Linked DNA regions of Oryzias latipes. The protein of the gene in region 7 purifies or fractionates together with the protein of the main gene of each other region. This does not show direct contact. Links are inferred from orthologs where the notes say so. Each region holds a gene or a part of one and is shown on either strand. Other genes may lie near its edges.

The links.
Region 1: the proteins of eif4a3 (region 7) and ncbp2 purify together in Homo sapiens (co-immunoprecipitation; 3 studies listed by BioGRID and IntAct, with this or other methods). This does not show direct contact. The link is inferred for Oryzias latipes from reciprocal best matches to the Homo sapiens genes EIF4A3 and NCBP2.
Region 2: the proteins of eif4a3 (region 7) and sf3b1 purify together in Homo sapiens (co-immunoprecipitation; 3 studies listed by BioGRID and IntAct, with this or other methods). This does not show direct contact. The link is inferred for Oryzias latipes from reciprocal best matches to the Homo sapiens genes EIF4A3 and SF3B1.
Region 3: the proteins of eif4a3 (region 7) and sap18 fractionate together in Homo sapiens (co-fractionation; 3 studies listed by BioGRID and IntAct, with this or other methods). This does not show direct contact. The link is inferred for Oryzias latipes from reciprocal best matches to the Homo sapiens genes EIF4A3 and SAP18.
Region 4: the proteins of eif4a3 (region 7) and upf1 purify together in Homo sapiens (co-immunoprecipitation; 8 studies listed by BioGRID and IntAct, with this or other methods). This does not show direct contact. The link is inferred for Oryzias latipes from reciprocal best matches to the Homo sapiens genes EIF4A3 and UPF1.
Region 5: the proteins of eif4a3 (region 7) and ncbp1 purify together in Homo sapiens (co-immunoprecipitation; 3 studies listed by BioGRID and IntAct, with this or other methods). This does not show direct contact. The link is inferred for Oryzias latipes from reciprocal best matches to the Homo sapiens genes EIF4A3 and NCBP1.
Region 6: the proteins of eif4a3 (region 7) and serine/arginine-rich splicing factor 3 purify together in Homo sapiens (affinity purification with mass spectrometry; 3 studies listed by BioGRID and IntAct, with this or other methods). This does not show direct contact. The link is inferred for Oryzias latipes from reciprocal best matches to the Homo sapiens genes EIF4A3 and SRSF3.

Annotation. Positions count from the first base shown.
Region 1 is NC_019862.2:17,994,099-17,998,289, forward strand, and holds ncbp2 (nuclear cap-binding protein subunit 2), read left to right. Parts: upstream 1-1,259; 5' UTR 1,260-1,352; coding exon 1,353-1,427; intron 1,428-2,082; coding exon 2,083-2,169; intron 2,170-2,322; coding exon 2,323-2,417; intron 2,418-2,913; coding exon 2,914-3,052; intron 3,053-3,167; coding exon 3,168-3,266; 3' UTR 3,267-3,921; downstream 3,922-4,191. UniProt on the Homo sapiens protein: Component of the cap-binding complex (CBC), which binds co-transcriptionally to the 5' cap of pre-mRNAs and is involved in various processes such as pre-mRNA splicing, translation regulation, nonsense-mediated mRNA decay, RNA-mediated gene silencing (RNAi) by microRNAs (miRNAs) and mRNA export.
Region 2 is NC_019879.2:178,002-181,731, reverse strand, and holds part of sf3b1 (splicing factor 3B subunit 1), read left to right. Parts: exon of another isoform or gene 1-129; intron 130-416; coding exon 417-496; intron 497-2,167; coding exon 2,168-2,353; intron 2,354-2,429; coding exon 2,430-2,892; intron 2,893-2,969; coding exon 2,970-3,091; intron 3,092-3,406; coding exon 3,407-3,604; intron 3,605-3,680; coding exon 3,681-3,730. UniProt on the Homo sapiens protein: Component of the 17S U2 SnRNP complex of the spliceosome, a large ribonucleoprotein complex that removes introns from transcribed pre-mRNAs.
Region 3 is NC_019860.2:16,860,118-16,863,604, reverse strand, and holds sap18 (histone deacetylase complex subunit SAP18), read right to left. Parts: upstream 2,221-3,487; 5' UTR 2,099-2,220; coding exon 2,027-2,098; intron 1,309-2,026; coding exon 1,199-1,308; intron 1,100-1,198; coding exon 977-1,099; intron 908-976; coding exon 751-907; 3' UTR 624-750; downstream 1-623. Other genes in the region: rtraf (RNA transcription, translation and transport factor protein), read right to left, coding at 374-434. UniProt on the Homo sapiens protein: Component of the SIN3-repressing complex. Enhances the ability of SIN3-HDAC1-mediated transcriptional repression. When tethered to the promoter, it can direct the formation of a repressive complex to core histone proteins.
Region 4 is NC_019862.2:13,855,973-13,859,702, reverse strand, and holds part of upf1 (regulator of nonsense transcripts 1), read right to left. Parts: intron 3,666-3,730; coding exon 3,551-3,665; intron 2,951-3,550; coding exon 2,807-2,950; intron 2,663-2,806; coding exon 2,449-2,662; intron 2,359-2,448; coding exon 2,241-2,358; intron 686-2,240; coding exon 529-685; intron 382-528; coding exon 239-381; intron 129-238; coding exon 1-128. UniProt on the Homo sapiens protein: RNA-dependent helicase required for nonsense-mediated decay (NMD) of aberrant mRNAs containing premature stop codons and modulates the expression level of normal mRNAs.
Region 5 is NC_019868.2:27,750,776-27,755,088, forward strand, and holds the start of ncbp1 (nuclear cap-binding protein subunit 1), read left to right. Parts: upstream 1-1,468; coding exon 1,469-1,502; intron 1,503-2,895; coding exon 2,896-2,984; intron 2,985-3,070; coding exon 3,071-3,171; intron 3,172-3,244; coding exon 3,245-3,401; intron 3,402-3,485; coding exon 3,486-3,593; intron 3,594-3,951; coding exon 3,952-4,073; intron 4,074-4,164; coding exon 4,165-4,234; intron 4,235-4,313. Other genes in the region: tstd2 (thiosulfate sulfurtransferase/rhodanese-like domain-containing protein 2), read right to left, coding at 1-23, 953-1,228. UniProt on the Homo sapiens protein: Component of the cap-binding complex (CBC), which binds cotranscriptionally to the 5'-cap of pre-mRNAs and is involved in various processes such as pre-mRNA splicing, translation regulation, nonsense-mediated mRNA decay, RNA-mediated gene silencing (RNAi) by microRNAs (miRNAs) and mRNA export.
Region 6 is NC_019863.2:2,322,560-2,326,776, forward strand, and holds the start of serine/arginine-rich splicing factor 3, read right to left. Parts: upstream 2,821-4,217; 5' UTR 2,801-2,820; coding exon 2,611-2,800; intron 1,944-2,610; coding exon 1,733-1,943; intron 1,599-1,732; coding exon 1,455-1,598; intron 983-1,454; exon of another isoform or gene 1-982. UniProt on the Homo sapiens protein: Splicing factor, which binds the consensus motif 5'-C[ACU][AU]C[ACU][AC]C-3' within pre-mRNA and promotes specific exons inclusion during alternative splicing.
Region 7 is NC_019859.2:157,965-162,210, reverse strand, and holds the start of eif4a3 (eukaryotic initiation factor 4A-III), read left to right. Parts: upstream 1-1,220; 5' UTR 1,221-1,323; coding exon 1,324-1,477; intron 1,478-2,351; coding exon 2,352-2,424; intron 2,425-2,497; coding exon 2,498-2,564; intron 2,565-2,647; coding exon 2,648-2,710; intron 2,711-2,792; coding exon 2,793-2,925; intron 2,926-2,990; coding exon 2,991-3,071; intron 3,072-4,245; coding exon 4,246-4,246. UniProt on the Homo sapiens protein: ATP-dependent RNA helicase. Involved in pre-mRNA splicing as component of the spliceosome. Core component of the splicing-dependent multiprotein exon junction complex (EJC) deposited at splice junctions on mRNAs.

The DNA.
Region 1 (4,191 bases), on a different chromosome or scaffold from region 7:
TTTGTCTTCCGGTTCCAGGTGCTGCTGTTGCATTAAGGAGACCATGATGGAAACTGACATACAAGTCAAGACTTCTCAGCAGAACCACAACTCTTTATTATGAGCTGATCATGTTTTGGACTTGCTATGTAGCAAACTGTCAGCCAGCAGCTGGGTTCATCTTTTCTAAAGAACTGTCCTGCTTTTGAGCAACGTTATTCTTAATTTCTTATTTCTTTGATGCAAACTCTAATACATTTCTGATTTGTTTAGGTAGTTAAATTTACATTAAATCAATGAAAGTGAATCAGTGGAACAGATTAGGGGGGAACATTTGTGTTCACTTTGTTCCAAAAAATAAAATGCCACCCTGTGTTTAAATTGTTTCTTTTTTCTTTTTTTTTTTGCAATGTATTAATTTTTGAACTTTGAATGTTTAAATGTGTCAGAAGTCAAAAGCAAGAAACAGATGTGATAAATCTGTGCACAAGACTAAAAGTTTTCTCTTCTGGACAGTTAGTAGGCATTTTGCATATAGTAGAACTGTTAAAGTCAAGAAGGATGAGTAACAGTTTTAAATACTAACATTTATCTAATGTACATTTAAAAAAAATGTGAAAAAAGTAAGACAGAACAGAATAAACTGTTGTAATCAGGCTGCAGCCAATAGCATGGTTCCACGTTTCACATATAGTCTGCAGCTGGAGTATTGCAGTGCAATACTATGCAAAGATGGTGCAATTCTGTGTGCCCTTGAGATGGAATAGCTTTGCATAAAGGTTTCTGAATGAATCTCAGAAACTTTACAATATTTTCTAAAAGAGTAAAGAAAAACCTGTAAAGCAAATATCAATTCAGATTTAAAAGCTGGTGATTTTATTTTAAAGAAGAAAGATATCCAAACATTTGAAATATAAGGTTTTTACATTTTTGTAATTGGCAACATATACTAACCTAAAAATAGACTTTTGTAAGTGCCATCTTCATACAACAGAAAATACTTTTTTTTAAGTTCCTCGCCAATTTTTATGAGGCTTGAGCTTTTATTTATTTCAAACTTTGAACAAACGTGACAACTATAACCCAGGCAAAACTGAACAAAACGCCCAAAAGAAGAAAGCAATAAATCTATCAATAACAGGAAAAACAAAGTTAAAGATATTTCCTTTAATCACAAAGTTAAAAGCATGAGTAGAAAAAGAGCATCACCAATAACTCATCGTATTTAAAATTATGTTTCCAACAACAAAGACTGTCAGATGTCCAGGTCAAATATCCACCCGGAGTCAATAAACGAGCGCACAACCGGAACTGATACCTCTCACGCTAACACTGGTTAGCAGTTACGCGGCTTTTTGACCGTTTGCATCATAATGTCTGTTAAATTAAACGCTTTACACAGCGATTCTTACATTGAAGTTAGTCAGTATAGGGACCAACATTTTAAGGTAAGTGAGAAATGAACGTAGAAGTCATATGAGTTGTTTTAGACCCATCAAGCTAGCAAAACATGTGAAAACAAAAGCGCGGTTATGCTTCATTTTAAAATTAAATTGATTGCACCAATAATTTTGCTCCTTGTCAATCGCTTTAGTAAAGTTACAAAACAAACATGTTATTCTCTTAATTACACCGCGTTTTAATTGCTTGCATTGCTGTTTCTTAGTCCAAATTCAATATAAAAATAATAAAGCTTTTGCTACACTGAAACAATTATTTTTCTGTTTCGTTCGTTATTTTCGTTGTTTTGATGGATGCATAATTTTACTTTAATTCAAATCAAGCTTTAGAAGATATAGAACCTTTTATAAATGAATCTTAAAAATATTTAAAAATAAAAAAAGGGTGCTACGTGGACAACAAGAGGCAGCAGCACAAGAAGACCCAAGAAAATAAAATCTATAGTTAACATTTCGAATGGGCAATAAATTTATAGATTAGATTTATTTATTTTAACCTTCCACTTTTAAAATGCCTTACACAGGTTGATTTATAGCTTAAAGAAATAAAGGAGGTGAAATAAAAAGGTGTTGTATTTTTTTCGTGCCAAATGTCTATTAATTGTCAAGTGTTGACAATTTTTCATTGCTTGTTCGGTATTAGGGGAACCGTTATGAACAGGAGAAGCTGCTGAAACAGAGCAACACTTTGTATGTGGGGAATCTGTCCTTCTACACCACTGAGGAGCAGGTGAGATTCTTCAACTCTGCTTCAGACTGATGTGAAGTTATGATCTCCAGTCCTGGTAATGAAATAATTAGGTCAATTTTTTTTTTTTTTTTTTCACGTCTTAAGTCTTTTTTTTTTAAAATTAATTTCTTTCCTTTGGTGACTTTTTAACAGGTTCATGAGTTGTTTGCTAAATGCGGAGATGTTAAGAGGATCATCATCGGCCTTGATAAAGTCAAAAAAACTGCCTGTGGCTTCTGCTTTGTAGAGTATCCTTTTGAACAACCAGACATGGATGATTTATCTTCTATGCAAAGGTAAAAATGTACATTTTGTGATTCCATCTCCCTAAATAACATATGACTTACATTATTTGATAAATATTTTTGTCATCTTTTAAATAATTAAGACCTCATGATTTGTGTTGTGGCAGTTACTTTTCTTCATCATTTTGGCAAAGCTCCATAGGTATCTACATTTACACCATTTAGGCTCTAATGAGTTTGTAAAACACACAGCGAGTATAGTAATTTAAACCTTAACTACAGTTATAGTAGGTATTCTGTTAATGTTCACTCTAAAGTGTTTTTGCTTGTGGTTACAGAGTACAAACTTAGTTTTATTACATACCTTAGAACTGTTTAAATGTAGAAATTGTTTTGCATGAAATCTATCAAACTTATTAAGAAGCCGACAGTAACATCCCAGTGCAGCCCAAGCCGACTGAAGCTTTTGTTAGAAAGGATTTAACTGCTGGCGTGCCAGATATTACACACGAGGAGATGCAGAAAACGCCATGCGCTTCGTTAATGGCACACGGCTGGATGATCGCATCATCAGGACAGATTGGGATGCTGGCTTCAAAGAGGGCCGGCAGTACGGGCGAGGAAAGTCTGGAGGACAGGTGAGATATGGTTAAAGTGTCTGTGAAAAGTCCAAAAGTGTTTGTTGATGCAGTTTGCGTCACAAAGTACATACGTCTATGAAAATGTTTGATTGTTGTCTCTGTTTTTGTGTAGGTGAGAGATGAGTACAGGCAGGACTACGATCCTGCCAGAGGAGGCTATGGGAAGCTGGCGCAGCAACAGCGGAGCACAGAAGCTCGCAATACTTTTTAGACCAAGTCTGAGTGTTTTGATTGGACTTCATACAGGACTGAATTTATTCCCTGATGATCAACAAAAAGCAGGCAGTGTCCAAAGAGATCTAGGACTTGGAGATGAACAGAGAAGGAATAAATCTTCTATGAATACCATTTATTTCAATCTGATATCATCAGTCAAATCCATTTGAAATAGAATGTTGTTGTTTTTCTTAACAATTGAGACATTTTGTTTAGGTGTAGTGAATGTGCATTACTGGGGTGGAGCTTTTATTAACTCTTTTTTTTGTCACCAGTTAGTTACAAAACTATTTTCTAAAATTGTTTTATGATTCTTTTTGAGTGCAGTTAACATTTTCTCTAAATTGAAAAACCTGCAGCATCTCACTCCTATTTCTCTTATTTGGAATTAAAGAAATATAAAGGGTCATACCAGACTTTTTTGTTCAGTAGATAATAAATTATCCAGTGAATTATTTTGAAGAAATGTTTTTTTTCTGTTTCCTTTTTTATTTTTTACCCTTCTGATTGCAATTCTCTAACAAAGTTATAGCTTTGTTTAATTGGGTGGGTTTTTTGTGTTTGTTTTTCTCTTGTGGTAAGAATTCAAAATGTTAAATTTATTTTGTCTCTGTAGACTTTTTATACAATAAACACATTTAATTAAACTGTCAGTTTTATTTGTAAAGCTTTTGATCATACAAAATGGATAATAAATGAAAAAATTCATTGAATATTATAATCCACGTAATGAATTTTATAAAGGTCTGAAAACAGTATGCTATTAACATTACTTAAATATTTGCTGCAATCTCCTTTATGTAAATGAGGATGCATCATTTAAGTCTATGCTAAAAGAAATTTTGCTTTTTTTGATGATTTTCTTTTTAAGAGAAGTTGACTTTTTACAATTTTCTTAAAGCTGTTGTTAGTTCTCCTGT
Region 2 (3,730 bases), on a different chromosome or scaffold from region 7:
ACAGGTGGTATACTGTTGTGTGTGACTTCAAACCCTTTCCAAAGTGTTACTAATGGTAAAGAGAAATTTTCTAGGCTTCTTTTCTGCCGGTTGAAGTCTGACTGCAGAAGGACCCTTGGCACTGAAAGTGTACGTATTCTGAGGAGCGCAGCCCAGGAGCCCTGCATCAGTGATGGCTATACTTCTTAATCCACTTAAAGAAACTACACACCCTCAACTTTCCATGTATCTTCTTGTTTTTCATTAGAATGTAAACAGGAAAAGCATATTTGTATGTAATTCAGTTATTGTTATTCTGTAACAGAGCAGCAACACAAATTAATCTGTTAGTCAGGGTTAGCTGTTTGTGCTGTGTGTGGGTGTCTGCAGTCTAACCTGATGAGTGCCTTTTGTTTTGTTGCTGCTCTTTCGCGCAGGGGGCAAAACGCCAGACCCCAAGCTGCAGGTGAGGTCGTACGTAGACGTCATGTTGGAGCAGAACCTGTCCAAAGAGGAGGTAAGAGTCCTGCTGCACGGCGCTCACCGGTGACTGTATACGAGAACTGGACTGAGTAGTCCCTCAACGAAAGTGGGTGGAGCCTCCTGGCCCCCACGTTCAAGACATTTGACAGATTTCATGTAGTCTGCTTTCTAGTGGTAGGGGTGTGGCCTGATTGGAGAGAGTGGTTGCCAGTGAAATGTTAACCATGTTTACCATGTATGCCAACTGAGTTGACTTCATTTGGTTGGACCTGGAAGAAAACGGGCGGCTGTGGAGCAGTGGTAGGGCGGTCGACCCATGATCGTAAGATTGCAGGTTCGATTCCCGCCTTGCACGCCCATGAGTCGAAGTGTCCTTGGGCAAGACACTGAACCCCACCTTGCCTCTGGTGGTAGGCGGGCGCCTGTGTTTGGCAGCGGAGCCGCCACCAGTGTGTGACTGTGTGTGTGACTGTAAAGCGCTTTGTCCTTGTAGGAAGAAAGGCGCTATATAAGTATACGCCATTACCAGAACCATTTTCTATGGAGGACATCACACTCAGTCAGTCCAGTTTTCATGGACAGTCAGTGGCGTTAAGATCCAGTCGTTTAGCAGTCGCTCAAACCAGACGTTGACACAGAAACGTGAGCTTCAGTGTGTTATTTAACCAAAACGCTGCAGGAGGAGGAGCTGCTGCTAAAATTCCAGATACGACGTTCAAATCAGGAGAATGTCTTTCTGTTCTACCGTCCTTATGCTGCCTTCATTACCAGGTTCCTGTCAAATTTGCTTTGGCGTCCACTATATGGACATGCGGCGAATTCTCTGCTCAACGCTCATCCAAACGTCTGCTCATAAACTAGACCCCCCCCAGACACGTGTGGGAGGAGCTACCAACTCATGATTTTAGCCTGATCGCCACGAGGAGCAGTGTCTGTGTTCATCTTATTCACAATACATGAAAGACACGGATGATGATTTATTTCTTTTGAAGTCATCACGCCTCCATGTTTGGGTCCATGAGATCTTTCAGAGACTCCCGGTACAGAGCTTCACCACTGCTGCCGGAGCTGAATGACGGACGCTTTCTCTGCGGTCTGACTGCTGCCCCCCGAGGAGGGAAAAATACATCTAGGAATAAGATCAGAGGACATTTTACTATTGTCTCGATGAAAATAAGAAAAATCTGAAGTTCAGAGGAACGATTAGATACTTTGTGTTGGTTTTTACTCCACCCGCCAATCGTGTCACTGAACACGCCACATGCCTAAAGCAGGGTTCCTAATAAGTTTACGCGACGCATTATCCTCGCCAAAGTTCAGATTTGACTCTGGACGTGTCATGATGTTCAGATCGCGCTGCTGCCGGACTGACATGCTGTTCCCGACGCTCAAACGCTACCGCAGGACCTCAGATCCTGTCTGTGCATTGGTCTGAGGCTGTGAATCACATTCAGTCTGAAGGCGGCTTTAAAACACGTGATGGATGCAGCAGAGGGACGTGTTTACTTTCCTCCTCAGCTAGAGTTCTTCTGACAGGATTCTGTTCTTCAGGCTAACCAGAGGAATCTTTTCTAAATGAACCTTCGAAGTCCAGCTGAATCCTGTGAGAACAGGCCCTGCATGAATGAGACAGTCCAAAGCTCTGTAGGAGACTTGTCTTTGTGAACTGGTGATGGGCTCTGACTTCCTGTGTGTTGGATTGCAGAGGGAGATCCGTCAGCAGCTGGCAGAGAAGGCAAAGTCGGGGGACCTGAAAGTGGTCAACGGGTCTGCTGCCTCCCAGGCCAGCACAAAGCGAAAGCGCCGCTGGGACCAGACAGCCGACCAGACCCCTTCCAATTCCACACCCAAGAAGGTGTCCAGCTGGGACCAGGCTGATGCCGGTGCTGAGGTGAGCCCCCTCCCCACCCTGAACTCTGATGGTTGTGAAGTACTTTTGCCGTTGACCGATCTTTCTGGTCCTCAAGACTCCAGGACACACTCCTGCTCACACACCGTCAAACAGCCGCTGGGATGAAACTCCTGGTCGTCCTAAAGGCAGCGAGACCCCGGGGGCCACCCCCAGCTCACGGATGTGGGACCCCACCCCTAGCCACACCCCCGCTGGAGCTGCCACCCCTGGTAGGGACACGCCTGGCCACGCCACCCCTGGCCACGGAGGGGCCACTGGGAGCGTTCGGAAGAACCGCTGGGACGAAACCCCCAAGACGGAGAGAGAGACCCCGGGTCACGGGAGCGGCTGGGCGGAAACCCCCCGAACAGACAGAGGAGAAGAGTCTGTGGGGGAGACGCCGACCCCAGGAGCCAGCAAGAGGAAGTCCCGGTGGGATCTAACTCCAGCCAGTCAGATGGGGTCCTCTACTCCTCTCCTGACCCCTGGAAAAACCCCGTTAGGAACGCCAGCCATGAACATGGCAACGCCAACCCCAGGTAAACAATAACCCCCCCATTTCAGCCCCTGGCAGCAGAAGATTGGGCTTTAACAGAGCTGCCTCTGTGTCCCTCAGGACACCTGATGAGCATGACCCCCGAGCAGCTGCAGGCGTGGAGGTGGGAGAGAGAAATCGATGAGAGGAACCGGCCTCTCACAGACGAGGAGCTGGACGCCATGTTTCCCGAGGGCTACAAGGTGTGTGTGGCGTGTCACGCCCCCCAACAGTAATGGGCTAAGCCCTGTTGTGTAATAAGAGTTGGGGGACAGGCTGACAGTGTCTCTGACTGAGCTGAACATGTAAACGTCTGCTCCAGGTCTACAGACAGAAACCAGACATGGACTTTAATCATTTATGGCGGTTAGCGCAGTTCTGTTCCACGCACCGTAACATCATTTCTGTTCGGTGTGGAGTTTAGGCCACGCAGCCTGCATGCTGCATGACCAGATCATTGTTACATGACTTTACAATCTGATGGTGTGAGCGGTCTTACCAACCGTTTCTTTCTGCAGGTGTTGCCCCCCCCAGCAGGGTATGTGCCAATCCGCACTCCGGCTCGGAAGCTGTCGGCCACGCCCACCCCCATCGGCGGGATGACGGGCTTTCACATGCAGGTGGAGGACCGCACCACCAAACAGATGAACGACCAGCCCTCGGGGAACCTGCCCTTCCTCAAACCCGATGACATCCAATACTTTGACAAACTCCTGGTGAGTCTGGCAGGACGGGGGGGCTGCGGTGGGTGGGGGTCTTTTCTGTGGAGGTAACGGTCTGTGTCGATGTTAGGTGGAGGTGGACGAGTCGACGCTGAGCCCCGAAGAGCAGAAGGAAAGGAA
Region 3 (3,487 bases), on a different chromosome or scaffold from region 7:
TAAGTACTAGTAGCTATGGGTTTTGGGTGTAGTTGGACACAGAGCCTGAAAACAATTGTATAAACTAGCATAGTGATGCACGAACGCAAACGTTTTAGAAAAACTAGCAAGCAGCTAAAAAAAAAGTTATAATTTCTTCAATTAAGTAGATCAAATCATGAAGCTGTCTACGCCGAATTAATTATGGTACAGTAAACTTTCTAAACTATAAATAGAACGACATTTGAATCTTTCTTGTTGCTATTTTGAACACATAACTTATAAAGTTGCTATTTTTAGAAGGGTAGTTTTAGTTCGGCTCCACAATAATGACAACGTCAGCTGGAAACGGGTGAATTTCTCCCCCCTTCGCCGTATTTAAACGTTTTCTTACCCGAACAATCGAATCCGTCGGGGTCGTGATAATCCAGAGCAGTGAGTTTTCTACGAAACATTTCACCTTGGAGATTTTCTGATAGAGAAAACGTGTTTTCACGCCGCAGCAAAGCTAACTACGCTAGTTTGCTGCTAGCTGACTGTTTGAGAATCTACGCATGCGCGACCGGAGACTGCAATCTGTAGGCCTACCTTTCAAAATAAAGTGACGAACTATTTTAGTGACCAAGAAAGAAAAAACAAAAGGGTGAATTTTTGAAATGAAAAGTCTTTATTGAACACAAGTTTTTTTTTATTAGAAAATGACACAAAACTACTGAAGACACAAATGAAATAGAGTTGTCAATCAAAGCACATATTTAGGTGAGCATGGGTTCAGAAAGGACGCATTCGTGGGCCAAGAGGCGGGGCTCTGTTGGGAGGCGTGATGGCGATATCCAGGTAATCCCCAATCTGGAACCGCTGAGACTGCAAGGTCATGGAGTCATCTGGACCCTTTCTGCCAGATATCGTACTGCCGATCTCTTTGAACCTACAGAACAAAACAGGTTCAATCAAAGCAAAAAACCAATTCACAGCTGTTTACGACAATTATACGTACTTGTACATTTTCCCTCTGAGATCAGGGAAGACTATAGCGAAGCTAAAGTGGGTCCCCTTTTTTCTGGCCTCTGGATAAACCTCCTTCACTAAACTGGTGAGTTCTTTCAGAGTGGCATCCATCCTGGCCAAAAAAAAAAAAAAAATGAAAGAAATAGACTCACTTTAGATTTCATTTGGACTCTTGGGTTAAAGTACCAGGAAGTCGGAACCAGTTACGTACCACGTGTAAATCTGCAGTTCACTTGAGGGAACATTTCCTCGAGCGAATTCGTCTACTCTGTGGTGGCGGCCGCTGTTGGTGGTAAAAACTCGCAGCAGAAGAGGGCAGGTCTGCAAAAAAGAATACAGGCATTACATTTAAACAGTAACTGAAATACTGGGTCCAAAGACCTTTTTTAAATGCTTTTATTTTGCAAGTGAAACGGAAGTGTACTGTGTGCCAGCTGCTGAATTCTATTAGACTGCCTGCCCCTCGCGCTATATTGATACATTTAAAACCACTGCATGTGATAAATGTATTGTACTGCATTTTTAAGTAAATAATTTACAATTATTTTACAATCCAAGTGGTTCCAGTTCAATGTCGTAGTATCGACTTTAGTCTCAGCGAGGGAGGGTGGGGAAGGGGGGGTTGAGGTTCTAGAACCCACTGATCCAAAGTTCGGGAAACCCGATTAAACAGGTTCGACCAAAAAGCACATGAATAAAGCCTCCCTTCAGAACATAAGCCCACGCGACCCAAATGTAGGGGGACACGAGGGACCAGGACCCTGGTAATCTCACATGATGTAGCCATCAGCTAGCAGGCTAACCCTAGCACGCGTATGTCACCAAAACGGTTGATTTCTTTTAACCATTAAATCACTTATTGGGTTAATTTAAATAGACTTTTATAAACTACCTTTAGCAGCAAAATTCAGCCACAAAAATAGTAATTTTTGCTGCTTTCGGCGTTGGACGTTATTGTGTTTAATACCCTTTAGCATGTTGTTAGCCTAGCAAACCAGGCTGCTAGCTACATCCGTGGCTAACGAGCCGCTGTTTTTACCTTCTCCCGGTCAATGGGTTTCTCTGGCTCCTTTTTAATTTCTTCTTGAGTGATTCTGGATTCTAAAGCCATTTACGTTTCTCGGTGGTGTTGTTTTAAAAGAAAAAAAGAAAAGAAAAATCCAGACAGACTCTTCCGACTTCTTGTTTGTAGAGTCAAGGCTGCAGCAACGAAGAAGCAACGAATTACTAGAGTTTCCGTTTCCGGTGTTTTTATTTATTTATTTTTAACAAAGTAAAATATATAATTTTTATTTTTAAGTTTCATCTATTTTGTTCAACTTTTAACTGAGGTAAAATATCAATTTTTGTCTGGTAGTTACTTTTGTGCTTTTTGTTTTCTCTGAGTATTTTTTCAACTTTAAATAACAATACTACTTTTCAATTATGTATATATATATATATATATATATATATATATATATATATATATATATATATATATATATATATATATATATATATATATATATATATATATATATTTGAACAGATTGACTAAAAAACTAAATATAATAATACTCTACCATAATATATACATAAGATAATCAATATTGACAAATATAAATAAACCATTCCTGAGTTACAAATTTCAAAATAAGATGTGCATTGCTCTTTCAAAATAAAAAGTTGGTTTTAATTTCTATAGAAGTCGGCTTAACCCTTGTGCTATCTTAGATGACCCCACCCTTACTTTGACGTGTTCTCCCTACCATGACAAAGGTGGATAAAGGTGAAGAAGATTTCATGTAATCCATGGACACCAGTGAAGATCACAAATCATTGAAGAAAAAAGGTTCAGAGCACTGTCTAGTGGGTCTAGATGACCCAACTCCCAATGTTAAAGTGCCTAGGATAGCACAAGGTTTAAGAGCACCTTTTACCGCTTTGTGATTCTTTTTTAAACTTTTCTGTGACAGTTCCCAAAGTGCCAAATAGTTGTTGTTTTTTTTCACGACCTTCTGCTTTGATCAATGTTAGATCACAGTGTCAAAAGGGGCAAAGAGCCTCCCTAGAAGCATTAATAGGATCATGTTTTCACAGCCTTTCAGTTTAGTCTGGGAGAAACCATTCATTTTTGGTTAAAATAATAGTAGATTAAAATAAATAAGTCATTTGTTTACTACAGCAGGAATTCCATTCAATCCCATTGTTGGTATGTTACTAACAGGAAGTCAAAAGACTCCAGAAACTGGTCCAACTCTTCAAAGGATGGCTGGTCTGGGATCAGTCAACCACCTACAGACCTGAAACCTACTATTCAGTCACATGCCCTGCTCCCCCCCTACAGATACACACACACACACACACACACACACACACACACAGATACGCACTCGCGTGAGTGTGAGCACTGTACAGTGTGTTTGTACAGTAAGAGACAGGCCCTCCTCTGTTCTCCTGCTGGCTGACCCAGGACCAGCCGCTGGGACCGAGGCATCAAACAGAGGCTCTTTGAGTC
Region 4 (3,730 bases), on a different chromosome or scaffold from region 7:
GGCTCTCTCTGAGGTTGTTGAGGGGCCCCTCCACCAGAACCTTCTGCTCCTTGTAGTTGTTCAGCAGGTTGTTCCACAGAGGCTGTTTAGACAGGGCTTTGGGGTTCCCCACAATGATCACCCCATACCTTCACACAAACGCACACAGATCAGGTTAGAACCACAGGAGACTGAAAGTGAGGTTCAGAATCTGCACAAATGAGAAGCCCAGGTTGCTCGTGATCTAAACGGTTCTCACTTGGCTCTGGTCAGCGCAACGTTGAGACGACGAGGGTCGTTCAGGAAACCAATGCCCTGGTGCTCATTTGCACGAACACAAGACAGAATGATGAAATCCTTCTCTCTGCCCTGGAAGGCGTCCACGCTGGCAATCTCCACTTGCTATGATGGAACAGGAGAGATGGGGGTATGTCTTAGTAACAGCAGCACAAACACAGTAAGCATTTTAAATGGTTTTGGGTGAATTTGATTTATCATATTCTGTTGATATTTTACATTTTTAGGAGGAAAAGTCAGAAGTGCTGGTACCTGATAAAGTTTGGTGTGCAGGGAGCCACTGAACTGCATATACTGGACCAGGTAGGAGCGCTGGCCCTCATAAGGGGTGATGATGCCGATCTGATCGGGTTTGGCTCCTGCCTTCAGCAGCCTGGTGGTGATTTTCTCAACGTTTGCAGCCTCAGTCCTTAAGAAAAGGAAAAATGGGAATAAAGGCGCTACTCAATCTTCTTTCTCAACAACAAGGCTGGAACATTTTCCTCACTTCTTGTGTATGTTTGGAATGTTTCAACAGTTTTGTTAGTAGGGATGGGTACAGAGCCCCGGTATTGAACGAGCCCCGGGGCAACATTCTTCAAGGCCGCAGTATCGTTAAGATCTGACCTCAACGGTTCTGCTATCGGTACTGGAAAAATCTGGTTTTTTTTGTGTCCCACAAGATATAAACGGTATCTGCCATATTTAACTCACCAAGTTAGTCAATTTTCCGTTAATTAATGATGATATTAATTTCGCTATTCTCGCTGAAGAGGAAAGGTCTGTATGGCTATTTGTGTGCACGGGGGGCGGGGCTGTTGTTCAGACAGTACGCAGGCCCACGTAAAAATTAATTCAATCTGCGCTAGAGCGCCCCGACTATCGTGTCAACCAGAAGCTATGATGACCGTATTTTGCGCTCTCTGTGAAGCATACAGTGGAGGGGCACGGAAAAAAACAACGACTCGCTGCTGCAGAGGAGGTGAACAGGTAGAGAGGAAAAGCAGGTAGAGAGGCGGGGGAGGGGCTTTGACTTCAAACTGTCAGAGAGATGAAAACACGGGCGTCAGATTAAGACGCAGCTTTCACTGCGGGAGTTGAAGCACAGACTTTCTCTGGGATGAGCTTATGAGCTCAAACATTTATTCAATTTGTTTAATATTTACATCATGATAGCAATATGTCAAAACATTGCTGTTTATTTTTCTTTTTTCTTCATGTATTTTACTTTTCAAGTTGGAAAATGTATAAAGTAAAATGTTTTGTTAAAAAAACAATGTTGCATAATGAGGAAATAAAACACTTTATGTTCTTTATTTGTTATTTATTTTTTTTTCGTCCTCAAAAAGTATCTATAAGAGTATCGTTAAAATAGTGGATCGATAAGCAGCATCAGTAAGAGTAGTAGTACCGTTAAAAGCTTAACGATACCCATCCATATTTGTTAGGCAAAAAGAGAATCATTTTCGTCCGTGTTTGTTATTTGTTAGATTATTTACATGAGTTGAGTAGCTTAACCATGGTGCGGTCAACCTTTGGTCAGAATATTGCAGGTTCGATTCCCGCCTTTCCTGCCCATATGTTGAAGCCACCTTGCCTCTAGTGGAAGCTTGGCGCCATTGTTCGGCAGCAGAGTGTGTGTGAATGTGTGTGTGAATGTGACTGTAAAGCGCTTTGGGCCTTCGAGGAAGGTAGAAAAGCGATGTCTAGGCTATTTACCATTTAAACCTAAGCTTTAGCTGTGGTGTTGACACACTCTTTAAACGTTTATGCAATTAACGGAATTCCAGCAGGTTTTGTAGCAGAGAAAAGAAGCTTTGTGCTGAACAGCACTTTACGTTGGTGATGTCTTGCATAACGGTGCAAAGCCAAAATGAAGAGCTGCGTCAGAATCAGCCGATTCACCTTTGTCAAAGATGTATATCAAAGAGCGTGTGTTTTTTAGGTGGTGACATCTCTGGAGATAAAGGGTGAAGTGACTTTACCTGTTAAGGTAGGAGGTTCCAGAGCTGGCAATTTCCTCCTGACCCTGAGTCACATAGAAGAACATGGGTTTATCTGGCTGAGGCCACTGGAAGTCGAAGCCTTTCTTGATGCGATCAGCTGGAAACGACATGAAAATCTCATTGTTTTCTTCACAGCTTTTCTCAGTCCGTGGGAATAAAAGCTCCCCCGAAGGGTCTTTAGACAAACCTGCAGTGACACCGTTCTGCAGCGAGCCCTCATAGAAAATGTTGGAGGGGAAGGCGCTGAGAGCCGGGTGCATGCGGTACTGGACCTGCAGGCGGATTGGCCGGATTCCCAGAACCACCAGTCTTTCAAACAGAGACTGAGACAGGCCCGCCTTTGCTGCCTTCTTGCACATCACCACAGGACCCAGCTGGCAGTGGTCCCCGACAAGAATGAGCTGGGAGGAAGAGTGCAGGTCAAACAGATGTCACACATATACTTGTGATTCATACGTGTGATGACAAATATCCTAAATTAATGTTGCAACAAAGCAACTGAACATCCGTTTGCACTTCTCTGAACAGAGGTGGGATTTATTTACCTGTTTGGCTCCCAGCACCACCGGCACCATACACTCCGGCTCGGTGGCCTGGGTGCTCTCATCAATCAAGATGGAGCGGAACTGCATCTTGGCCAAACGGGGATCCCCAGCCCCGACACAGGTGCAACAAATCACATCAGCGTTCTGGAAAAGAAAAACGGGAACTTATAGTTTGTAGAACTCTTAAGACCTGTGCAAAAGATAAAAAGGTCACTTCTTCTTTATTGTTGATATTCCACTTAGGTGTTATGCCAGCTGAAGTACGGTACTGTGGGGCATTGATCTTCAGTACAGTCAGGTTCTCACTTTAAATCTCTATATTGTTTGCTCTGCAGCTTGCAGTTGTTGCACGTATACAGCAATAATGCTAACAACACAGTACATACACAACAAAGCAATGGTGCATCTGCACTGTTTTTACAGTTTTATACCATTAAAAGTAAAAATAAATAGTACAATGGAGCACAAACTCATAGGTTCTCCATGGAAACACCATCTCAATAGAAGATAGTGATCACAAAAAACTCTTAAATGATCTGAATATTTTCTTTTCATATCTTGGAACCATTTAGATTTTCTGTGCTGCTAAAAAAACAAAGCCATCAAAAAAAAAAAAAAAAAAAAAGCTCCGCATAGATGGGATTTTTGATTGCGTGTTTTTTAATGGGCCAGACCAAAAACCCCTTAAGAGTACATAATGTTCTGTCTACCATCAATCATAGTACAAATGCTGAGCTGTCTTACCATGAGCAGCTCCCTCTCAGCTGTGCGCTTCAGAGCCCTGTAACGTTTCTCATCTGCAGACGACAGCTCTCCAGTCTCATCCTTCAGCTGCTGCAGTTTCTGAAGCTCTGGCATACTGTGGAAACCAAGAGAGATAACTCAGTGACTCAAAAGGTCCTGAACTGAATGTACAGTGGCAGG
Region 5 (4,313 bases), on a different chromosome or scaffold from region 7:
GAAGCCACAAACGAGGCAAAAGACTGAAAAGGAAAAAGAATCAAAGCATTTACCTCAATCAAGCAAATGTATTCTGTTTCAAATACTTCCAGAAATATATGGTTTCCAAAAAAGTTGGACCGACTAAAGGAGTTTCTAAATGTGATGTCTTGAATCATCATCATCATCATCATCATCATTGAGGTTCACGTCAATATTTACGTAATGAGCCAAATTTTGGCCTGTCAATACTCTGATCAAGCCTGAAATATATTACATATCTATAAATGATTTAAGCATTGATTTACATCTATTTGGTCCGGTAAACGGTAATAATCTGTTTATGACAAAAACAGGGAAGAATTTTATATGTCTAAAGTGACAATTTAAAAGAAGCAACAAATTTTTTTTTATGTATTTGTTTGTTTGTGACATCAAACACTAAAAAAAAGCCTCTCTGCAAATTTACCAGTTGGCCAAAAGCCCCCCCCCCTCTATTTGTTGTCCCAGGACAGAAGGTAAATGTGCCTCACTAAATATAAAGTAATCATTTAATGAACGCCTGGTGAAAGGTGAGTTTTCAACTGTAAAATGGTCAAATATGTTTTTAACTACAGGATCTATTTCTAAATTGTTGTGCCTTTTTTATGTTGTTTGTTTTGGTGTAAAGCACTTTGTGTTATCATGTTCTAGAATTATATAAATTTTACATAAATAAAGATTGATTAGATTTGATACACAGAAAAACAAAAACAAATACCAAAGATATTCTCTAACTTTCATGTCTTGAATACCTTAGGTAGTAATAATATTACTACCTAGTAGTAATAATATTACTAATATATAAAAGATGCAAACTGCCCAGAATTGGGTCAGAATCAATATTTAGTTTAGATTAGTTTAGTCATTTTTTATTCTGTTTTCAATCATTCTGCGTTGTCTTTGTGGAAAGAGAAGCCAGATATTCTCCTACCTTTCTCCTGCAGAACCTGTAATATTTTCTGTGAGCAGCAGAAATGTGTTTGTTTTGCTTAATTGATCCATGATCAACCATCGACGTGTTGACCTCCCAGTTCAGAAACTCTGAGCAGACTGCTTCACTGGCTGCCATTCTCCTCAACTGGCAAATTAAATGCACGACAAATATGTTTGTGATCGTAAAAAACGCAACTTTGTGATAGAACGCGTAAATACTGACAAAAAGAGAGATATAAGTTCTCAAACGCGGTAAATACCCTTGTATTTCCATGCGAGTGTGCAGCTCACCGGAAGTGGAAGTTCAGCTTCCGGTTGTACCTTGAATGACCCGGATGTCCATCATTTCAATCGCTCCGCTGTTATTTCTCTGTAAGAAGCTGCTGTTGCTGCTGCTGCCGCCTCCGGACTCTGCCGTTCAAAATAAGCAAAGCTTTTCCCGGATCCACCGGTCTGTCCCGCGTTATTTTTTTTACACCGGGTGTCTGCACGCGTGCAGCTCAGGGGGGACAACATGTCCAGGAGGAGACACAGCGACGACAGTGACGGCAAGTCGCGCGCTGCATGTGCGATTCAAACGTTACGGCTAACGCGGCAGCTAGCTACAGCTACCTTGATTATCTGTATGTGCTATAACTTTAAAGGAATGCAACGATAGCAGGCGTTGCCCCAATATCAAGTATTTTTTTAAAGCTACTAAATAAATTAGGGGATTTTAAAAAATGATTTTTAAGAGATTAAGTTTTACCAGAAAAACCCGGTTCCGTTAGTTAGCTACTTTAGCTAACGCTAACGGCCAGATTTATGTTTTATAACGGTTTCTGGCACACAAAACACATTTAATGTTTGTAAAGACTGGCGTAAGTGTTGAAAGAGACACTTTTTCTGTGGGTTCATCATCATGCGCATGGAAACGTGATGTTACAGCCCTGTGGATTTTGTGATTTATAAAGGAACATTCACAACCAAAGTGTCTCACGGTTCCACACTAAAAAAATATCAGACCTAACAATATTTTTATATAATGTAGGATTAGTTTAGTATGTATTTGTCATTGTATGTATAAATGACTTCTATTGGCTTCCATTGAGTGTTTACCTTTCATTCAGAGATTTCAGTAAGGAGAGAATCAGCAAGGCAAGTTTATTTCTTAAGCACATTTTATGTACAAAGGCAATTCAAGGTCCTTTACATAAAACACTAAAAGAAAAATTTAACAGAAATATTAAAGGAGTTATCACCAAAATAAAAATTTAAAGAACTGAAGTAAATACCAACCTGCATTTAAATAAACTGAGTGTTTCAGCTGATCCAAGGCTTAATTCTGGTAGTCTGTTCCAGATCTACAGAGCATAGAAGCTGAATGCAGCTTCTTCGTGTTTGATTTCGACTCTAGGTACTGACGAAAGAGCAGATCCAGATTACCGGACAGGTCAGAACTGGACTGATGTGGTCTAATATTTGGCTCCTTTGAAGGACCCGAGCAGCAGAGTTCTGAATACGCTGCCGTATCGTCCAGCAAAAACACTGGAACAGTAGTCAAGTCGACTAAAGATCGACTTAACACATAAACAAGTTTGGCCAAGTCCTGCTTAGACATCAGATCTTTATTTTAACCAGATGAAATTATCTCAAAGCGATGTTAAAAAGATGGGTTTTGTGCTTCTTCTGAAAAATCTCTACGGTCTCTGAGGCTCTCCGGCAGGCTGACGTCCAACTGTTTGTCTTTAGCCCTAGACACAATATTCTCCATTTTTCTTCTGTTTACCTAAAGTATATAGGAGGAAACCTCCAGTAAAGTCAGATGGAGTATGTGTGACTGTCGAAACACTAGATTTTATGAGACGAATACACTATTTTCCCCCCAAAACGTAGATTTGTTTTTCTGTCTTCAGTGTCCTCTCAGGTCAGAGGTTTAAGTTCTGTCCTTTTCATTTTTAGGAGGTCAAGCCCACAAAAGGAGGAGAACATCAGAGCCTATTGAGATTGAAGACCGCCTGGAGTCGCTGATATGTCGCGTTGGAGAAAAAGTACGATGGCCGTTTTGTCATAAAGCCATATATTTACTATTTAAATAATTTGCAATAACTAAAGTCCGTCTTTGATCTTTTAAAAGAGTACATCGTCCCTCGAGAGCAACCTGGAGGGGCTCGCAGGGGTTTTGGAGGCGGACCTTCCAAACTACAAAAACAAAATCCTGCGTATTTTATGTGCAGTGTAAGTTGTCCGCAGTTCTCCTCATTCTCAAGCGTAACAAACGGTCCGTTTTCACAAACGCGTCTTTCGACAGAGCCCGCCTCCTGCCGGAGAAGCTGACAGTCTACACGACGTTAGTCGGCCTCCTGAACGCCAGGAACTACAACTTTGGGGGAGAGTTTGTGGAGGCCATGATCCGGCAGCTGAAGGAGACGCTGAAAAACAACTTCTACAACGAAGCCGTTTACTTGGTCTGTTGATGTTCAATGTCTAAACTCGCAGCTGCTGCAGCGCCTTTTGCTCTCGGCATCGTTTAAGTTCTCTGCTCTCTTCAGGTGCGCTTTCTGTCAGACTTGGTCAACTGTCACGTGATCGCTGCCCCTTCCATGGTAGCCATGTTTGAAAACTTCATCAGTGTTACTCAGGAAGAAGATGTGCCACAGGTTTGTTTCTGCACGGCCTCACCTGGAATATTTGTTTGCATCAGAAGTTTCAGTTTATGAACATCCCGTTCTTTTTTTACTTAATGTCACATTTAAGGCGCCTCCTTTTGTTTTACTGCAACGTCTGAGTTTCCCCATTTCAAATTCAGCAAACTCCTTTATTTTTGTATCATCTGATGTTCTCAATGACGACTCAAAATTCCATGACTTGGTTTTGGGAGAACTGCAGTCCAATCAAAAATAAAAATGATTGTTTTCTGTGTAAAAATAGTTTTAGATTTATACAAAAACGATTTTTCAGCTTCTCAATTTGACTTGAAGATGAAGATCAGTAAGCGTGAGACCCTTTTGGCTCCAGGTTCGGTTGGACTGGTTCGTGTACGTGGTTCTGTCCTGCCTGCCGTGGGTCGGCAAGGAACTTTATGAGAAGAAGGACGTGGAGATGGACCGACTCCTGAGCCAGATCGAAGGCTACCTCAAGTGAGACGCGGCCTCTTTTCTGGAGCATCTTTTGCTTTCCATTGAAGCTGTTGTTGGACTGACTCCAGCGCTCTGCTGTGTTCCTGGACAGGAGGAGGGTGAAGACTCACGTCCCCATGCTGCAGGTGTGGACCGCTGAGAAACCACATCCACAGGAAGAGGTGAGCCTTTTGGACAAGCAGGTTTTGAAACGCAAGTCTAAAAAGATGCATTAGAAGGATCGAAGGGGGAAAAAAATCC
Region 6 (4,217 bases), on a different chromosome or scaffold from region 7:
ATCACGTCATCACAGGCCTGAGGCAAGTCCCTGGGTGGTTAACGAATTCAACGCCAACGTTTAGACATTTGAAGTCTGGATGCACCGCCCGAGGCGCCGCTGCCGAACCTCAGATCGTGTCAGCACAAAACTGGACGCCTTCGACGTGTGAATCCCATTCGGTGTGAAGATAGCTTAAAAAATTACTGAAACAGGCTGCAAATTTTTCTTGTGCTAAAAAAAAAAGAAACAAATGTTGTAAACTGCTCTGTGTTTGACTAATCAACCCCCCCACTGACCCGTTTACCTGAAGCTAGCCTTTTTCCAGCTAACAGAGTTGTGACTGCTGTGACCTACGATGTGCCCAGATCCCCTAACATCAGCACCATCAAGCTCCTCTGACAGCAGGCTCCATCTATCTGATCACTCCCATTGAAACAAAGACTCACATGGTGGATGACAAAGCTAGAGTTTAAACAATAAAAGTCTCTTCAAACCAGCTGTCTCTTCACTTTCAAAACTGAAATCAGCAGTGTACTGAATGAAGCAGGGAAACTTACTAGTTTTTTTGGATTTCAACAAGCTAGATATGACGAAAGGAAGGCAGACTGCCGGCCGCGTAGGTAGAATTGGCGGAATAGGAGTGGACAGATGCTGCAAGGTGATTAGATGGCAGGCAGATGGGGGCTGGTTGTGGCTTTTTTCCTGCTTTAATTGGTAAGCTGACGGCTGCTGCTGGTGGGTTGTAGACATTTGGGAACATTTTACGCTGATTGGTCGGGAATGTGAAGTGGGTGGCTGCCCTTTGGTTTAAGGCTGAAGGAGCAGGAGGTTGAGAACGGCATGCTGAGGAACCAATGGGCTGGTGCAACCTGACGACTGGCCAAGCCTGGGTCATGTGACAGCACCAGCCAAGCTGATTGGGACACGACGGTCAGCAGTCGCGTGATGCTGAAAGAGGACTAGTTGACTGAGGGTGGTGAGAAGAGGCATGGTGGTGGTTCTGCAATGGGTTTCATTCTTATTAATATAGATGAAAAGTAAAAAAAAAATATAAAGACATTTGGCAGTTTTACCCCTCACACCGCCCGCCCCAAACTTTATACAAATTTACTTCTTTTTCCAAACTAAAAACTTTATTTATGACCTCTTGTCACTGTCAAACTCCTAAACAAAGATTTGGGTGTGCACACGAAACACACACAAAAGGACTCTGGCTGTTAAAAGCCAAAGTCCCATTCTACACAATGTACTTTTGACAAATATTTGAATATTTTGTGTGTTTTCCTTGTTGCACAAAGTAAGCGCAGACAGGTCAACAGTCACCAAAAAAGAAAGAAAGAAAAGATAAATTAACAACACAACAACCCAGACTGGAAACCCAAAAGCAGTTCTCAGGAAATGTACTGTAAAGTAAATCACATAAGAGGATATAAAGCTAAGAAATCCCTTCCATCAAAGAACCCCTGGGTTACCTTCTCCTGGGTGGCGGGCTGCTACGCCGCCTGTAGTCGTCCCGTTCCCGCGGCCGCCTGCTCCACGATGGAGGAGCGCCGCGACTGCGGCTGCGCTTCTCCCCGTTAGACAGCTCCACGCGCACCCGGCAGCCGCACAGTGTCCTGCGACAACATTCACGCCTGTCATTCATTTCATACCAAACGCTGATTTCTGTGGAATTGCTGGTGGCCAGACAAACCCGTTTGGGAGGATTTTGCGGGCCGTACCTACAAAAATCACACAGGGAGGGACGTACCTTCCATCCAGTTCTCGCACCGCATCCGTTGCATCTCTGGGATCTTCAAACTCTACGAAGGCGAAACCTGGGGGGTTCCTGGCCACCCAGACGCTACGAAGAGGTCCGTAGTAGCCAAAGGCGCGCTCCAACTCGGTTTTGTTCCCATTGTTGCCCAAATTTCCAACGTAGACCTTACAGTCCAGGGGACAGTCACGGTGCATGATGGAATCTGGAATAATCAAAACCACGGGGTTATAAACACAAGGATCAGCTAAAAATATAAGAAGATGATAGATTACATTTCTGGTTTCAAATCAAGCAATTCTACTGTAGTCGACTGATCGGTTTCGTGGATGAACCAGGACAGACCAAACTAACAGTACGGCCGGAGATCCGCCTCTGCTCTGCCACCGATGATAATGATGCTCCAAATACCTGTTTTTCAATGAGCCACAATAAACAAACGAAGATTTCGATAAATATAGTTACAAATGTTCTTACTTTGGTGGGCTGGGTCTAAATACGCATCGAGTTTCCACTACACGCGATCATCATTTAGAAAACTGATCCACATTTCTACCAAAGTTAGCATAAAATGCTAACTTTAGCCACACGATCGTGTAAAGTTAGCCATAACCGGTAGCTTTAAGCTCACACTTAGCAACTCTATTTCAGTTTTGTAGTTTGACTTTTTTTTTAAACACACAGACTTCACTAACGGAGAAAACGGGTGAATAAAAGCAGCTAAAATGGCTGTCGATACTCCGCGGCCTTCTCCTCCTGCGGCGGCGGCGGGTTCAACACACGACGTGATCAGACAATGGCGCACGCGGCTGCTTCCTTTAGCGCTAAAGCACGTGTCTACGGCGCTGAAGGTCCGTGAATGTCTGCACTACCTGTACCGGAGCCGAAGGAATTCACCGCTGAGAAGAACTCTTTTTCACGTGCACCCGTCTCGCCGATGCACTGCCTCCAGCCGACGGTGGAAAATGGCGTGACGGAGAATACGTTCGACTGTAAAAAGTGACCAGGATGCTGCACCGCGAGGGGCGGGGCTTCTCTGTGCGCGCTCGCGAGCGTCGACATCAAAAGCCAGTTCGGTGTTCCCCGGGACAACGCCGAGAAGATCACTTCAGCACATTTTAAACCGGTTTAGCCACAGCAGAGGCCTGTTTCACAGCAGCCAATTTACGCTGACTGTTCATTTCCGGGTTTGTTGGTTGTATCAAATTCTCCAAAAGATACATGGAGAAAAAATATTTGCAGCTGTTTTCATTTATACAAATAATTACAAATTGTTGATTTTTTTTAAAAATTTCCTTTTATACTTAAATAGTGGTTATACACAAGTCAAGTTTATTTGTAGAGAACATTTAAAAAAAAGACAATACAAAGGGCTTTACATAAAACATTAAAGGAAACATAAAAAGGTATTAAAGGAGTGATCAATAAGTAAAAAAAGATTAATAGAGCTGAATGTAAAGTAATGTGGATGTAAACTTTTGCATAAAACTAATCAAATGCAGCTGAGAACAGGTGGCAGTTAAAGACCAACAGCGATGAGAATTGTGTTGTTAGTGTTTTTAAATGTTCTTGTGGCATTTTTCTCATGTTGGAGGACATTTATGAAGAAAATTAGGCCTAAAACTGCATTTCTAAGTATTTCTTCATTCAAATCGTTGTGAACCAGGAGCAGATGAAAAAATGTCGCAATTCAGTACTTTAGTCTATAAATGGATCTTAAAGAAGTAAAAAAGAAAAAAAACAGTTTTTGAAGTTTTAGTCATAAACAACAACAAAAGCATGAATGTCAACAATAAGGAAAGAAAAAAAGAAAGGAATGCACAATGTACGGAACATCACAAAAGCAAAACAAAAAAATAACAATGAGCTGCAGAGTTTATTAAAAAAATTACCTTTTGAAATATTACATTTGTTGAAATTTCTTTTTTCTTTTTTATTTGTTTGATACTTTCACTATATTTAATTATTTCATTCAAAAAGTGTTCAAAATCAAGTTTAGAGTTTGACCATTTCCTTTTATATATATGAAATTTCTCAAAAACAAAATAAATTGTGTTATAAAAATAAAGTTCTGCTTCATGTTGTCATAACAGCCCAAAATGGTTTGTTTTTCTGAAAATGTGATTGTTTTTCCAGTTTTATGACTAATGTCATTTCCAACGTGACTCCAAATCTGTCCAATGTTCTTTTAAAGACTATAAATAATGTGGTATTCTGCTGGTTCCTGGTGTCGTCCTGCTGTGGCTCAACATCTGTGGCTCCAACCAGTCCCCTTCACCGATGCACAGATGGTCCAGGATGGTGCTGCAGGCAATGATTTTCCCGCGAAGGTTGGTTTTACTTCCAACGCCCCCAGAAATACTGCTCTCCACCTCGTCTTCATCTCCACCACAGAGCGTGCCTTGGAGTGGTGCTGGTTGTAACGGGCCTCAACCGCATTTCTCAGGGGTTCCCTGTAGGGTGTCTGCAGCGTGATGGG
Region 7 (4,246 bases):
ATGCAACAGGCCGGGGAGTGCAAAAAAATAAATAAAATAAATGAATTAAGAAATAAACATTCGAGACCCAATATGGCGTCAACAAAAGTCAACCAAACAGGAACAACATGAGTTTACAGAACCCACCGGCAAATTTCCCACCACAGGAGGGAGAGGAAAAAAAAAAATCTGAATAATAATACAACATTGCCTGCCAACCAACAGCATATTATTCAACAGAATCTTTCAAGGAAGGAAAACACAACAACATATGACAGTCTCCTCACAACACCAACAAAAATTTCACTGTGACATAACTCTGTATTGTTACATCCTAATAAAGTCCTGATAACGTGTTGGAGCACGCACCATTCTGCCACTGCGGGAGTGTGCAGGGGCTGTCCCAAACGCGTCCCTCTGACCCTGTTGGGGTGGATCACCATTATCTGGGGGGTCCAATGAAGTACCCGCCGAAGGAGAGGATGATGGCGGGGTGGACATACTGTCGTTTGGGGAACCAGCAGGCAGGGGAAGAGTGTAACGTTTTAACCTGTCATGATGAACAACCTGGGCCCGCTCAGACATATCCAGGGGGTTGACAATGCGATATGTCAAAGCGGCCTCTGCACCTGAAGCCAGAACCCGATCCACACGATAGGGACCTTTCCAGTGCGGTGCTAGTTTTGTGCGGCCCTCTGTTGGGTTATTAAGCCAGACCAGAGCACCCTCTGTAAAGCCCTTGTGGTGAGAGTTCTCATCATGGTACAGTTTCTGTTTCTCCTGCGCCTCTGCTGCATTAACCCTCGCTGCACTGAAAGCAATCTCCAGCCGCTCCACAAGAGACGACGCGTATAAAGGCAGCGTGGCTGCACTGCCAATGCCACCAACCCCACTAGGAATGAGAACCTCTGCCGGGGTCCGGGCTTCGCGCCCGTGCATAAGATAAAAGGGAGTAAACCGTGTGCTGGTGTGCTTGGAGATGTTGTAAGCAAAAGCAACAGATTTCAAATGGTCATCCCATTCCCCCCCCATGGGACAACAACATCTTGGCCAGCTGGTCAATTAGGGTAACCCGGGAGGGACACACCTCTCCCAAAATAAAAGATCCAGGAAGTTGGTTACATCTGTTTTAATTGTGGTTTGACACTTTATACAGCTGCCACAATATTGTAAACCTCAAATGTTTTTTCCAAACGAAAAACAATTGCTCTTCCGCCTGATAAACCTGGTCGCCTGCTGATGACGTAAGCAGAGCGACACGTGGAGCGCTGTTAGTAGCTAGCAAAGCGGTTACCCCCCTTTTGCGGAGACTACCGATTCGTTTTGAAGACAGACACGACCGTCATGGCCGCTGCTGGGACACCGGGCAGGAGAAGACTCCTGAAGGAGGAGGACATGACCAAGGTGGAGTTTGAAACCAGTGAAGAGGTGGATGTCACCCCTACCTTCGACACCATGGGGCTCCGTGAGGACCTGCTCCGGGGAATCTACGCCTACGGTAGGCCGGTGGATTCGAGAGGCCTCCGCCTCCAGATGCTAAGCCTAAATCCGCTGTGTGGTTCAGTTCACCTTAAAAAAGGAATGAAAACGTAGTTGGTATCAGACTACATCCCGTAATAACTTACATTAAAGCGGGTAGATTGGTGTGACCTGATCATTTTGTCGTTGGCGGGAAGAAAAACTTCATCTTTTTAGCCTTCATGCTAGCATGCTAAGGCCGCGTGCGGCCGCGCTGACATGAAATTAGTTTAAATTCGTGTTGATTATTTACTAAACGAAAACCAGATACTAAAATTTGCGGGTTTCGTTCAGTAATGCCTGGACACGATCTTTGTTGGTATTGTTGCTCGTAACAGTCATGATCCAGGAGTTAGACGGTTCCCATCCTATATGGCTTCGTATATGTAGCGAATATTTTACTAATTTCCCCCAGAACTATTAATAAATATATGTCAACACTTCTGTCTTAATGTGTATTTTAATTTTGTTTCTGTTCATGTGTTCTGTCTTCTCCAGACGGCAGAACATTTTATGAACATATTATCTGGACCCAAAAGGACGGGAGAAATCCCAATAGACAGAATCGATCAGATTTGTATCTACAGTAATATTGAAGTGTTGCACTGATAAAGATGAATTCTCTACATTTTCCTGGACTATTGTGCTTGAGAGGATCCTTCTTTACCCCTAAAACCCAGTTTCTCCATAGAAATCCTTTCTGTGGGACTAAAACTTTTCTTTCTGGTCAGCATCACCAGAACTTCCCACTTTGGTCCCCCTCAGTTTGAGCAGCATGGGAACTTCTCAGATGAGGTTTCTCTATGTGGAAATGAAGATGGACAGCACCTGACCAGGTTCTGGTTCTGTTACAGGTTTCGAGAAGCCTTCAGCCATTCAGCAGAGAGCCATCAAGCAGATCATCAAAGGCAGAGATGTCATCGCTCAGTAAGTCTGGGCTGGAAAACATGCAGGTGCTCTGGTCCTCCATGCTGTAACGTGTGATCTGTGCTGCATTCAGGTCCCAGTCTGGAACAGGAAAGACGGCCACTTTCTGTATTTCCGTCCTGCAGTGTCTGGACATCCAGGTGAGTTCTTGCTGTTCTTGTGTCCCGTGACAGACGGGCCAGAACCCGTTTGCAGCTCGGTGGTGATGCTGTTCCTTCTGCAGGTCAGGGAGACCCAGGCTCTAATTCTTGCTCCAACCAGAGAGCTGGCCGGACAGATTCAGAAGGTAGCCCCGCCTCCACCGCCATGTTCAGCCAAAGGCTTGTAAGGTAGAGGCGGCGGTGCCAGTCACGGTGTCCTGTGTGCAGGTGCTGCTGGCTCTGGGAGACTACATGAACGTTCAGTGTCACGCCTGCATCGGAGGAACCAACGTGGGCGAGGACATTCGCAAGCTGGACTACGGCCAGCACGTGGTAGCTGGCACCCCTGGACGGGTTTTTGGTGGGTTCAATGGGTTTTATGGCAAAAGTGGCACAAACGGGAATGCTGACGGCGTCTCTTTACAGACATGATTCGGCGCCGCAGTCTCAGGACCAGAGCTATCAAGATGCTGGTGTTGGATGAAGCTGATGAGATGCTGAACAAAGGTGAGGTCCTCTGCTGTTCAGCGTCTTCTGTACCTGCAAAGCAGCTCTGTCTGAGCTGAAAGCTCACCTGCTGGTCATCAGAATAACTCTGGCACCTTTGGTTACGTCTGAAATGTGTTGAAGGAGCAGGAAGGGTTGGTCCTTCCAGGTTGGAACCACCTGTTCCAGACACACTTGAAGGTCACCTTTCCTTTCAGTGGTCGTGTTTTCGGCTTAATGTGTCAGATTTGAAAAGTCCATTTGACGCCATCGGGCCGCGATGTCACCACTTCCTGTTTAGGACGTTTAAAGCAACACTTCAGTGAATTTTAACGGTGACATGGAGATGTTCTAAGTGAAGGTTAGGAAGAACCTTCAGCAGAATCTTCAGCAGAACCGCTAGCAGGGTCAGAACTTTAAATTCATGTCTGTAGTGTTGCTAGTGTCACTGCAGAGAATGGTTTCAGATTTCTGCTTTAACATTCCAGATTCGTGGGGGAGCAGAGCTTTTGGGGGGTGGGGGTGGTGGTCTCTGTAGCGCATGGGGAGGTCTTCATCTCACCACCACACATCTTTGCTTGGCTGTTGGTGTTTTTGCTCTTCGTCGCCATCAGATCTTTTTCATTCTAGAATCCTGGACGGATTTTTCTACGAAGGCTTGAACTTTAAGAGAAAAGTCTGGAAATGTTGACAGCTAGCTTGTGGATTTCACCTGTGGCCGGTTATTTTAGAAGGCAACTCCCGCGATGGGAATGCTGTAGTTGAGTTCCGGCGTGACTGCACTTCCTGAATGACCCTGGTCAGTCAAAGCCGCCGTCATGGCTGAAGTTCTGGCAGACCGTCCTAAACTACGAGCTCTCTGAGAGGTTTGGGGCCGGCCTCAGAGACGGAGATGCTTCTGGGTCTCAGGGACCAAAAATCAGGAGCAGCCTTTCTCCGGTTTGGAGCACCTGACATCTCTGAGACTTCATTTTCAGTCTCTGACAGCAGAAACAAACCAATGTGTTTTTTCCTTCTGCTTCCTTGTTTCCATCATTTCTGCTTCTTCCTGGTCTAATCTTCAATAATAGGCTCATGATTGGACAGAGTTTGGTTATTGGTCACCTAAATCACTTCCTGTTTGTGGCGTAAGGACACGATGGCGTCAGTCATGTGACCATCTGGGTAGTCACAGCCGCTGCTTTGTCTTTGGCAGG